2 linked regions of the Canis lupus familiaris genome follow. The protein of the gene in region 2 binds, or shares a complex with, the protein of the main gene of each other region. Links are inferred from orthologs where the notes say so. Each region holds a gene or a part of one and is shown on either strand. Other genes may lie near its edges.

Region 1 (4,258 bases), on a different chromosome or scaffold from region 2:
ATCTGTGACTCGAGCATTAAGTCCCACATCCACCCCCTGCCTCCACACACCCCTTTCTAGGCAACAACCCTGGACACACGATCAGGCACTCACCCAAGTAATCGTCCATCAGAGAGCCAATAGCAAACTGCAGGAGGGAAGGCAGAAAGGAAACAGAGCCTAAGCAAGCATAGAACTAACTTCTAGCCCAGCCCCAGGCCTTCTGCTCACCCATCCCCTCTTCCTGGCAGAAGAAAACAAAACCCCCAGGAACCCTGCATGGTAAGAAAATCAACAGCTGCCAGCTCTGCCTGGTACAGGTAAGAAGGTAGGCAAGAGACTCACAATGTCATTCTTGTCCACACGGGTCCCCACAATCTTCAAGCGGATCTCATCATCCTGCTGAATCACAATGTCCTGAGGAAGAGTAAACAGGATACTCAGATACCTACAAGCCAAAATTTCTTGGAGGGCTCATTCTTCGTCCTTCTCATGGACTTCTTCCCCACTCACCTCATCCATTGTCTTATAACATGGTGGGTTGGAGTTGGGGTCAAACTCCATCTCTGATGGGATGGACTGAAAGGAAAGCAAGACAGAGCTTTACAGGAGTGCTTCCAGAGAGAGTCATGACTGGCTTCTCTCCTTAGCACCCCCAGCACGCCCAGACTTACATGTCGAGAAATGAAGCAGGACATTGGTCCAATTTCTGTGAAAAGTCCAACCTAAGAGGACAATGGGGGACTTTGTTTTTCTTTTTAAATTTTTATTTATTTGAGAGAGAGAGAGAGCAAACGTGTATAGACAGTGAAAGGGAGAAGTAGATTCCTGCTGAGCAGGGAGCTGGCTGCGGGGCTCCATCCCAGGATCATGACCTGAGCCGAAGGCGGCTGCTTAACCGACTGAGCCACCCAGGCAGGCACCTCGACTTTGCTTTTTCTTTTATCCTCAAATTCACCTAAGCTTCCCAACTTTATCTAATTCCTAATAATATTCTTCATATTTTGAATCCACTCTGAATTGTATCATTTGCTTTCATGTCTCTTCTGCTGAGATTTCATTTCAAGTTACGCAAATACAGTGCACTAAAGAGCCAAGGCCTGGCACTTGTCGGTCCACAATCTGACCACCTGTTGATCACATGACCTTGGCCATTAGACAACTTCTAACTTCTCCAGGCGTAAGCTTCTATAAAAATGGATAAAAGCATGACCTTAGTCACCGTTAGGTTTTGGACCTTACCCAACCCATAATAAGTATTCAATGAATGGAGACTACTATTGCTGACAACTCATACTGACTTACAGGACCCCAAGGGAGGTTTCTGCACCATTTGACAGGTGTAGAAACTGAAGCAAAAGTGACTTACCCAAGGACACAGAGTTAGCAAGAGCAGTTGGGACCCATCCCCCATCTTCTGAGCAGCCACCCAACTGCCTCCACTATGTATGGACTCACCTTGTTGACTTGAGTGACAACAGCATCCACGACCTCCCCTTTAAAGGGCCGGAAAACAATGGCCTTGTACTTAACTGGATAAAGGACAAACCCTCGGCCTGGCTGGATCACACCAGCACCAATATTGTCAATGGTGGTGACAGCAATTACAAAGCCATACCTGTAAGGAGGATGAAAAAAAGAAAGGCATCGTGTGTGCAAGAGCCTCTAAAATCATCTACAACAAAAAAAAAACAAAAAAATAAAAAATAAAAAAAAATAAAATCATCTACAACAAATCAGTGATGATGGGGGTCAGGGGACGGCACAAAGGGAAATAGATGGCACCCCTGCCCACAGAACTTCATGTTGGGAGAAGAATACAGATCAGTATCTATAACTTTTTTTTTAATTTTTATTTATTTATGATAGTCACACACACAGAGAGAGAGAGAGAGAGGCAGAGACACAGGCAGAGGGAGAAGCAGGCTCCATGCACCGGGAGCCCGACGTGGGATTCGATCCCGGGTCTCCAGGACCGCGCCCTGGGCCAAAGGCAGGCGCCAAACTGCTGCGCCACCCAGGGATCCCCGATCAGTATCTATAATGCCAAACACTGCTCTCATGTTTCACAATAAATGTCCAAGGAGACTGCAGTCCTTAAGCCAAGAGACTTCAATCTTGAGGATGCCTCAGAATCACCTAAGAGGAACTTCTTAAAACACAGATTCCCAGAGATCCCTGGGTGGCTCAGCGGTTTAGCGCCTGCCTTCGGCTCAGGGTGTGATCTCGGAATCCCGGGATCGAGTCTTACATCAGGCTCCCTGCATGGAGCCTGCTTCTCCCTCTGCCTGTGTCTCTGTCTCTGCCTCTCTCTCTATCATGAATAAATAAATAAAATCTTAAAAAAAAAAAAAAAAAGTCTGCGGAGTAAACGAATGACCAGTCTCTGCTGAAGTAAGTCTCGCGATCCAGAGGGCACCTCGGGAACCCAGGCCGGAAGCAAGTGACTGCCTCGGGTGCCTGAGAGGGTGAGAGGGTTCCCCGGGGCAGGGGGCAGGTGGCAGGTGCTTGCAGGATGAGTAGGAGTTGGGTAGAGGCTGCAGATCAGGCGGCGCGAAGCACTCGGGACTCACTTGCCGGTGCAGGTCCCCTCCACCTCGGTGAAGAGCTTCTGCTTGACCGTGTTGAGCAGGTTGGGGCCGAAATAGCGCGGGTGCAGCAGGATCTCGTGCTCCAGGGAGATCTGCGGGGAAAGCGGCATGGAGACCAAGCAAGGACGAGGAACAGCATCTCCTCGTCCCGGAGCCCCGCTTCGCTCCTCCTCTTAACCCTGCCCTCGCGGCCACCCCGTGCTCCGCGTACGTGATAGAACATCCTCCCAGCCGGGACCGGACAGCAGCCAAACCCAAACTGCCTCGGTGGTAGCCGCGGTTCTCACGCAACCGGAAACACGCACCGCCCCCGGAACCCTGCTTCCGGGCCTGTCCCCGCCAAGTGGGCGGGACTCCGCTCCCTTCGCGGACCCAATTGGTCATCGCTGTCGTGGGCGGGAAATCGGTGAGGCCCCGCCCTTCCGGCCCAGGTCCTCTGCGGCGCAAATGCTGGCTCTTCTAAATGAACAGTTTCCTGGCCTAGGAGGGATGCGCGATATACTGTTAAACGGAATTAATTAGCTAATAAAAGACAACGTGAATACAGTGCTTTAGCAGAACGCATTCGTGTGGCAAATATTTGAAGGCTGCCTTCACATAGTAAGCATCGTAAGGAGCTGTCTTTATCTCATTTCATGTACATAGCAACACCACTAGGCAAGCTTTACAAATGAGGGACCAGGCTCAGAGAGTTGAGGTCACTTGAGGGTCACGATTCAAATGTGCAGTGTCTGACCTCCAAGACCCTTGCGTATTTGGACATTCCAGATTTTCATGCAGTCATTTGTTCAATAAAATGGAGCACCCCACTCCTTGCTGCAGGTAGTTAGGAGATGAAGCAGCCAAAATCAGAGCCCAGGAGTCAGTCCTCCCTCCGGTGTGAGAAACCAAGTCACTGCACTCCTCTTTCCCGTTTCCCCCCAACCCGCTGACACACACGCATGGGGGGCTTAGAGAATTGATTGGTTTGTTCCCTCAACTCTGCCCACTTTTTTGTAGACAGTCGCTTTGCTAAACTCCCCTCAATTAACCGGAGTGATAATGCAATCTATTCCCTGTTGAGACTGACTGATAAAAGGGCCATGCAGAAAGAGGCAGAAACCATGAGACAGACCCATGAGTAAGGCTCAGCCAGGGCAGCTGGTTCTAGAGCCGGACAATCCTTTTTTCTTTTTTTTTTTAAGAGCCGGACAATCCTTAAGGCTTTGAGCAAACTCCCAGTTGCCTGAGTAAGGTTTTTATGGTGGTTTTTTTTTTTTTTTTATGTTGTAAATAAAAGATCCTGACCCACCCTACAGCAAGAACAGACACTTCACGTCTGCTTCCTCAGAACTGTCACATACCAGTTCGTATGGACACTGTCCATTTCCTGGAATAGTTGATCCCACCAGTCTGCCACTAAAACTCCATGGGGATCCCTTTTGAAGGATCAGGCAAGGAGATCCCTGGGTGGCTCAGCGGTTTGGCCCCTGCTGGGGGCGCCCAGGGCGAGTTCCTGGAGTCCCAGGATGGAGTCCCACATCGGGCTTCCTGCGTGGAGCCTGCTTCTCTCTCTCTGCCCCTCTCTCTCTCTGTGTCTTTCATGAATAAATAAATAAAATCTTAAAAAAAGAAAGATCAGGCAAGGAAGCAGATGAATGGGCCTCAGCAGTCCTGACTTTTCCTCTCTTCTTTCCCAGCCATCCTCC
Region 2 (4,333 bases):
AAATCTTAAAAAAAATACTAAATAAGCTCAAATTCTACCCACCCCTTTGAATCACTCATCTCCCAAGTGTATGTGTGCTGGTCACTAATAAACTTGTCTTTCTTTTGTTATGGTCTCTTTTGTTAGTCTAATTATTGGGAGAACTTAACATGGATAGAGGGGAAAAAAGACCTTTTTTTCTTTATGGGATGAATGCCTGAGAAGGAAGCAGGGTCCTGGAAAGATATTTACAGAATTGGGTAGGCTACCTAAGAAGTCTGGGGAAAGGCTCTAAGGGAGCAGAGAGCATCAATGCTAGGGAATAAATTGATACAAAACTGGCTCCTATTTCTCAGGACAGGGTAATTTTAACTTTTGGGTTAGTATTTTTCATTTGCTGCCTGCCCCTTCTCCCCATTACACTTCATCAGTTTTTTTTTTTTTTTTAACCAATTTCTGACTTTACCGGGTTGTAAATATTCCAGCAAAGTTACATTTCCTGAAGGTGTCACATGAACATCAAGTGAGTTTATTAGGAAATCCTCCAGAATGAAACTAATTTCAAAAAGGTACACATCAAAAAAAAAAAAAAAAAGCCACACATCAGTTATCTTTTGGCTTTTTTTTCTTTTGGCTTATTTCCAAGTTTTGAATAAAAATTTATTATTTCATCTAATCTGCACAACAGCCCAATGCAAGTACCTTATTTTGGTAGTACAATTATTCCCATTTCTCAAATGCAAAAACCGAAGCACAGGTTAAGTAACTTGACCAACCAGCACTAAGTAATTAAATAACAGCGTTGAGCACTGGCTTTGCTGCCACCTCCGGTAGTAAGAGAAAGGACAGCCGCAGGAAATATGACACCCTCCAATACCCTGCAGGCGGTGGGCCACGCCAGTTATCTGTTTCGTAGCATTCATTCATTACTCCTATCTCTTCATGCTGCCTTTTAAGTCTAAATCCTCGTCTAAGGGGGTTCACAGGTGTGGTGGTTGGGGATTTAAGCTGGGCTCCACGCCCGTAACTGGTTGCGCGCTGTGCCGTCTTGAGCAGGTCATGGCGCTTCACCCGACTTCTGTTTCTTTTAAAGATTTTATTTATTTATTGATGAGAGACACAAAGAGAGGCAGAGACAGAGGCAGAAGCAGGTTCCACGCGGGGAGCCCGACGTGGGACTCGATCCCAGGTCTCCAGGATCACGCCCTGGGCCGAAGGCGGCACCAAACCGCTGAGCCACCCAGGGAAAGGACAGATTTTTGTGTTCCATTTTAGCAACCGCTCCTCTTCCTACGTAAGCCTCATTCTCCGCCTCCCCCCTTTCCCGCCCGCCCGCCCGCCCGCCGTTGTCATGGAAATCCGGGACGCCCCTGCCGGCCGACTCCCCTCCCGCGGGACCCCGGGCGGGGCACGTGACGGCGCACGCGCGTTCTCGCGGGCGGGGGCGCCGCGGTGCCTGCCGGGACGGAGCTCCTCGTAGCCTGATCAGGAAGTGGCGGGCGGAGTTCCCGGCCGAGTCGCGCCGCCTCAGCCGCCGCCGCCGCCGCCAGTGCCGAGACCCCGACCTGGCGGGGCTGCGCTGGGCGTGCGTGCGGGCAGGCGGGGGCGCTGCTGACGAGGAGCAGGGAGCGGCGGCCACGCGGGCGTGGGCGGCTGGTGGAGGTGGAGGCGCTGGGAGGCGGCGGCCGGTCGCGTGGGGCGGCCCTCCTCGCTCAGGTAGGGGCCGCGGCCGCCGGGTGTGGGGAGCGGAGCCCCGGCCTGTGGTTCCTCGGGAGCGCCTCCTCCTGCGGGGCGAGCCTGTCTTCCGTCGGTCTCTCGGGGACGCGGGGTCTGCGGTTCTCTGCGCGAAACGCCAAACAGTACCAACTTCTGGGGCGCATTGTCTTTTAGGCCGGAGGTCCACTGAGCAAACTTTTGGGTTGGAAAGGGGGAAATTCGCCGTCAGGATGCTGACTGCCTCTCTTCCTGGCCCCCGACCTCACAGGAGCCGTAACTGAGCGGGACGTGTGTGGAGTTGAGGGAACCACGGGGTCCAGCTAAAGGCGGTGATTTAGATGCACCTCCGAGGGCTCTTTTTTTTTTTTATTATTTTTTTTTAAGCCGCGTTTTGGAGACTCGGTTTGTACTGATTCCCGAACTTTAGTTATTATAGTCGATGTCTGCAAAGTCTTAAGACCTGCTCCAAATCCAAACACTGGGGTGTACCTTTTCGTCCATCTCCCCGGTCCTGAGATTTAGGAGGTAAGCGGTGTCGTTTCCTACCTTGCCGGCTGTTCCTGGCAATGTTCTTGGGCTTATGCAGAGAAGGAAGCAAAGGAGAAGTAGAAAGGTTGAAAAATAAAAGGCGAATGGTAGAGGGGGAAGAACGTGTGCTCTGGAGCTAGATTTTGATTTAATTTTTGGCTGCTCAGTGACCATGGAAGAACACGTGAACTCCCTGAGTTGTGATGATTTTTTTTTTTTTTTTTTTTTAAGTGGGAAATGGGCATAGGTCTCCTGCGTAGGTCAGTATATGTGAAACTGCAGATTTCTGAGTAGTCTGAAAAAAGAGGTGGAAAAGTTAAGCGGAGCATGCGATGGTGGGAGAGAGAGAGAGAGAGGGAGACCTTCAGCCTTCTGCTCCTGGGTGCCATTGAACGTTACCGGTATCGCACAGGTCGCCTTTGTTTTATTAGAGGCCTTGACCAGCATTTCAGGTCTGGAGTAAGGAAGCTTTTGATTGAGGAGGCCGAGTATTCGTGTCCTGACCTAGGTACTTAACAGCTGTGTGACCCTAAGGGTCCCTCCTCACTTCAGATTTCACGTATTAAAATAAGGAATAAAACTAATACCTATCATTTCAGAGAGTTGTGAGGCTCAAATGCTGTAAGCATTTAGGTTTTTGTAAATTGTAAGGCTTTTGTTTAAGCCTGTGTTAAAATCATGGTTAAAAGCCTGGTTTGATTACCTGTCTTAACACGATGACTTAAACAGCTACAGATGTTTCCTGTTTTAGGTGTGTTGCCCCCATTTAATCACTTGTGATTTCTACCCCCCCACACACTTACCCTCCCCCCACGTCTGCTATCTTTCCAATACCCTAGCATAATCCTCCTGTTATTTTTTCTTTTCAGATCCAACTCAGAATAGTAGCAGTGAGGTAACATTTGTATATAGCTTTATTACTCAGAAAATTGCTTTTCACAAATATTGTCTCATTTTAAAGTTGGGCTAGATGGAGATAGCATTGACAGTATCTTCATTTTGTTTATAATAAAATTGGATTTAGTGAGGTCTATGGATTGCCTAGGTCATGTTGCAGTTACAGATTAGTACTGAGGATTCCAGAAGTCAGGTCTTTGATAACAGTGCCAGTGGCTCTTACTCATTCAAGTTTACTCTGATTATTTTTTTTTTATCAGTGCTTATATTTTTGACTTTTAGCACTCTGAGTCATATTTTATTCATTTTTTAAAAGATTTTATTCATTTATTAATGAGAGACAGAGGGGGTGTGGGCAGAGACACAGGCAGAGGGAGAAGCAGGCTCCATGCAGGGAGCCCATGGGGGACTCGATCCCTGGTCTCCAGGATCACGCCCTGGGCTTGAAGGCTTCGCTAAACTGCTGAGCCACCCGGGCCGCCCTTATTCATTTCTTTTTTTTTTTTTTTTTTAAATTTTTTTTAGATTTTTATTTATTTATGATAGTCACACAGAGAGAGAGAGAGAGAGAGGCAGAGACACAGGCAGAGGGAGAAGCAGGCTCCATGCACCGGGAGCCCGACGTGGGATTCGATCCCGGGTGTCCAGGATCGCGCCCCGGGCCAAAGGCAGGCGCTAAACCGCTGCGCCACCCAGGGTTCCCTATTCATTTCTTTTTAAGCAAGATGCTCAGTTCTTTCAGATTTTTCAAATGTAAGCTGCTTGAAGGCAAGGGTTTATCTTCTCGAATTCTTCAAAACCTGGAGTACATGAACACAAGACAACTATACAAAGCTTAGAGTCACAAACACAAGACATTTAATAAAGATTTGTGAAACCTGTAACAAGGCTAAAGCCACTTAAAGATGTTTTTGTGTTCGTTATTCATTTAACAAATATTGAGCTATTCTCTGCATGAAGGCTTTCAAAGTTCAGATAGGGGCCCCCCGGGTGGCTCAGTTGGTTAAGTGTCTGACTTGAGCTCAGCTCTGGTCTTGATCTCAGGGTGGGTGAGTTCAAACCCCATGTTGGGCTCCACACAGTGCAGGGAACCTACTTAGAAGCAAAACAAAACAAGAGCAAAGATAGGATCTTTTTCCTCCCAGACCTTCCTTCCCTGCTTGTGAAGAATGCAAAAATCATTTACATGGTCAGCTTGTTGTGCTTCCTAGAC

The links.
Region 1: GTF2E2 (region 2) and POLR2G share a complex: the UniProt entries of both Homo sapiens proteins name them as parts of the TBP-based Pol II pre-initiation complex. The link is inferred for Canis lupus familiaris from reciprocal best matches to the Homo sapiens genes GTF2E2 and POLR2G.

The regions. Positions count from the first base shown.
Region 1 is NC_049239.1:54,436,376-54,440,633, forward strand, and holds the start of POLR2G (DNA-directed RNA polymerase II subunit RPB7), read right to left. Parts: upstream 2,996-4,258; 5' UTR 2,794-2,995; coding exon 2,782-2,793; intron 2,663-2,781; coding exon 2,553-2,662; intron 1,598-2,552; coding exon 1,438-1,597; intron 705-1,437; coding exon 654-704; intron 559-653; coding exon 493-558; intron 397-492; coding exon 325-396; intron 128-324; coding exon 94-127; intron 1-93. UniProt on the Homo sapiens protein: Core component of RNA polymerase II (Pol II), a DNA-dependent RNA polymerase which synthesizes mRNA precursors and many functional non-coding RNAs using the four ribonucleoside triphosphates as substrates.
Region 2 is NC_049237.1:34,514,794-34,519,126, forward strand, and holds the start of GTF2E2 (transcription initiation factor IIE subunit beta), read left to right. Parts: upstream 1-1,514; 5' UTR 1,515-1,695; intron 1,696-2,198; exon of another isoform or gene 2,199-2,220; intron 2,221-4,333. UniProt on the Homo sapiens protein: Recruits TFIIH to the initiation complex and stimulates the RNA polymerase II C-terminal domain kinase and DNA-dependent ATPase activities of TFIIH. Both TFIIH and TFIIE are required for promoter clearance by RNA polymerase.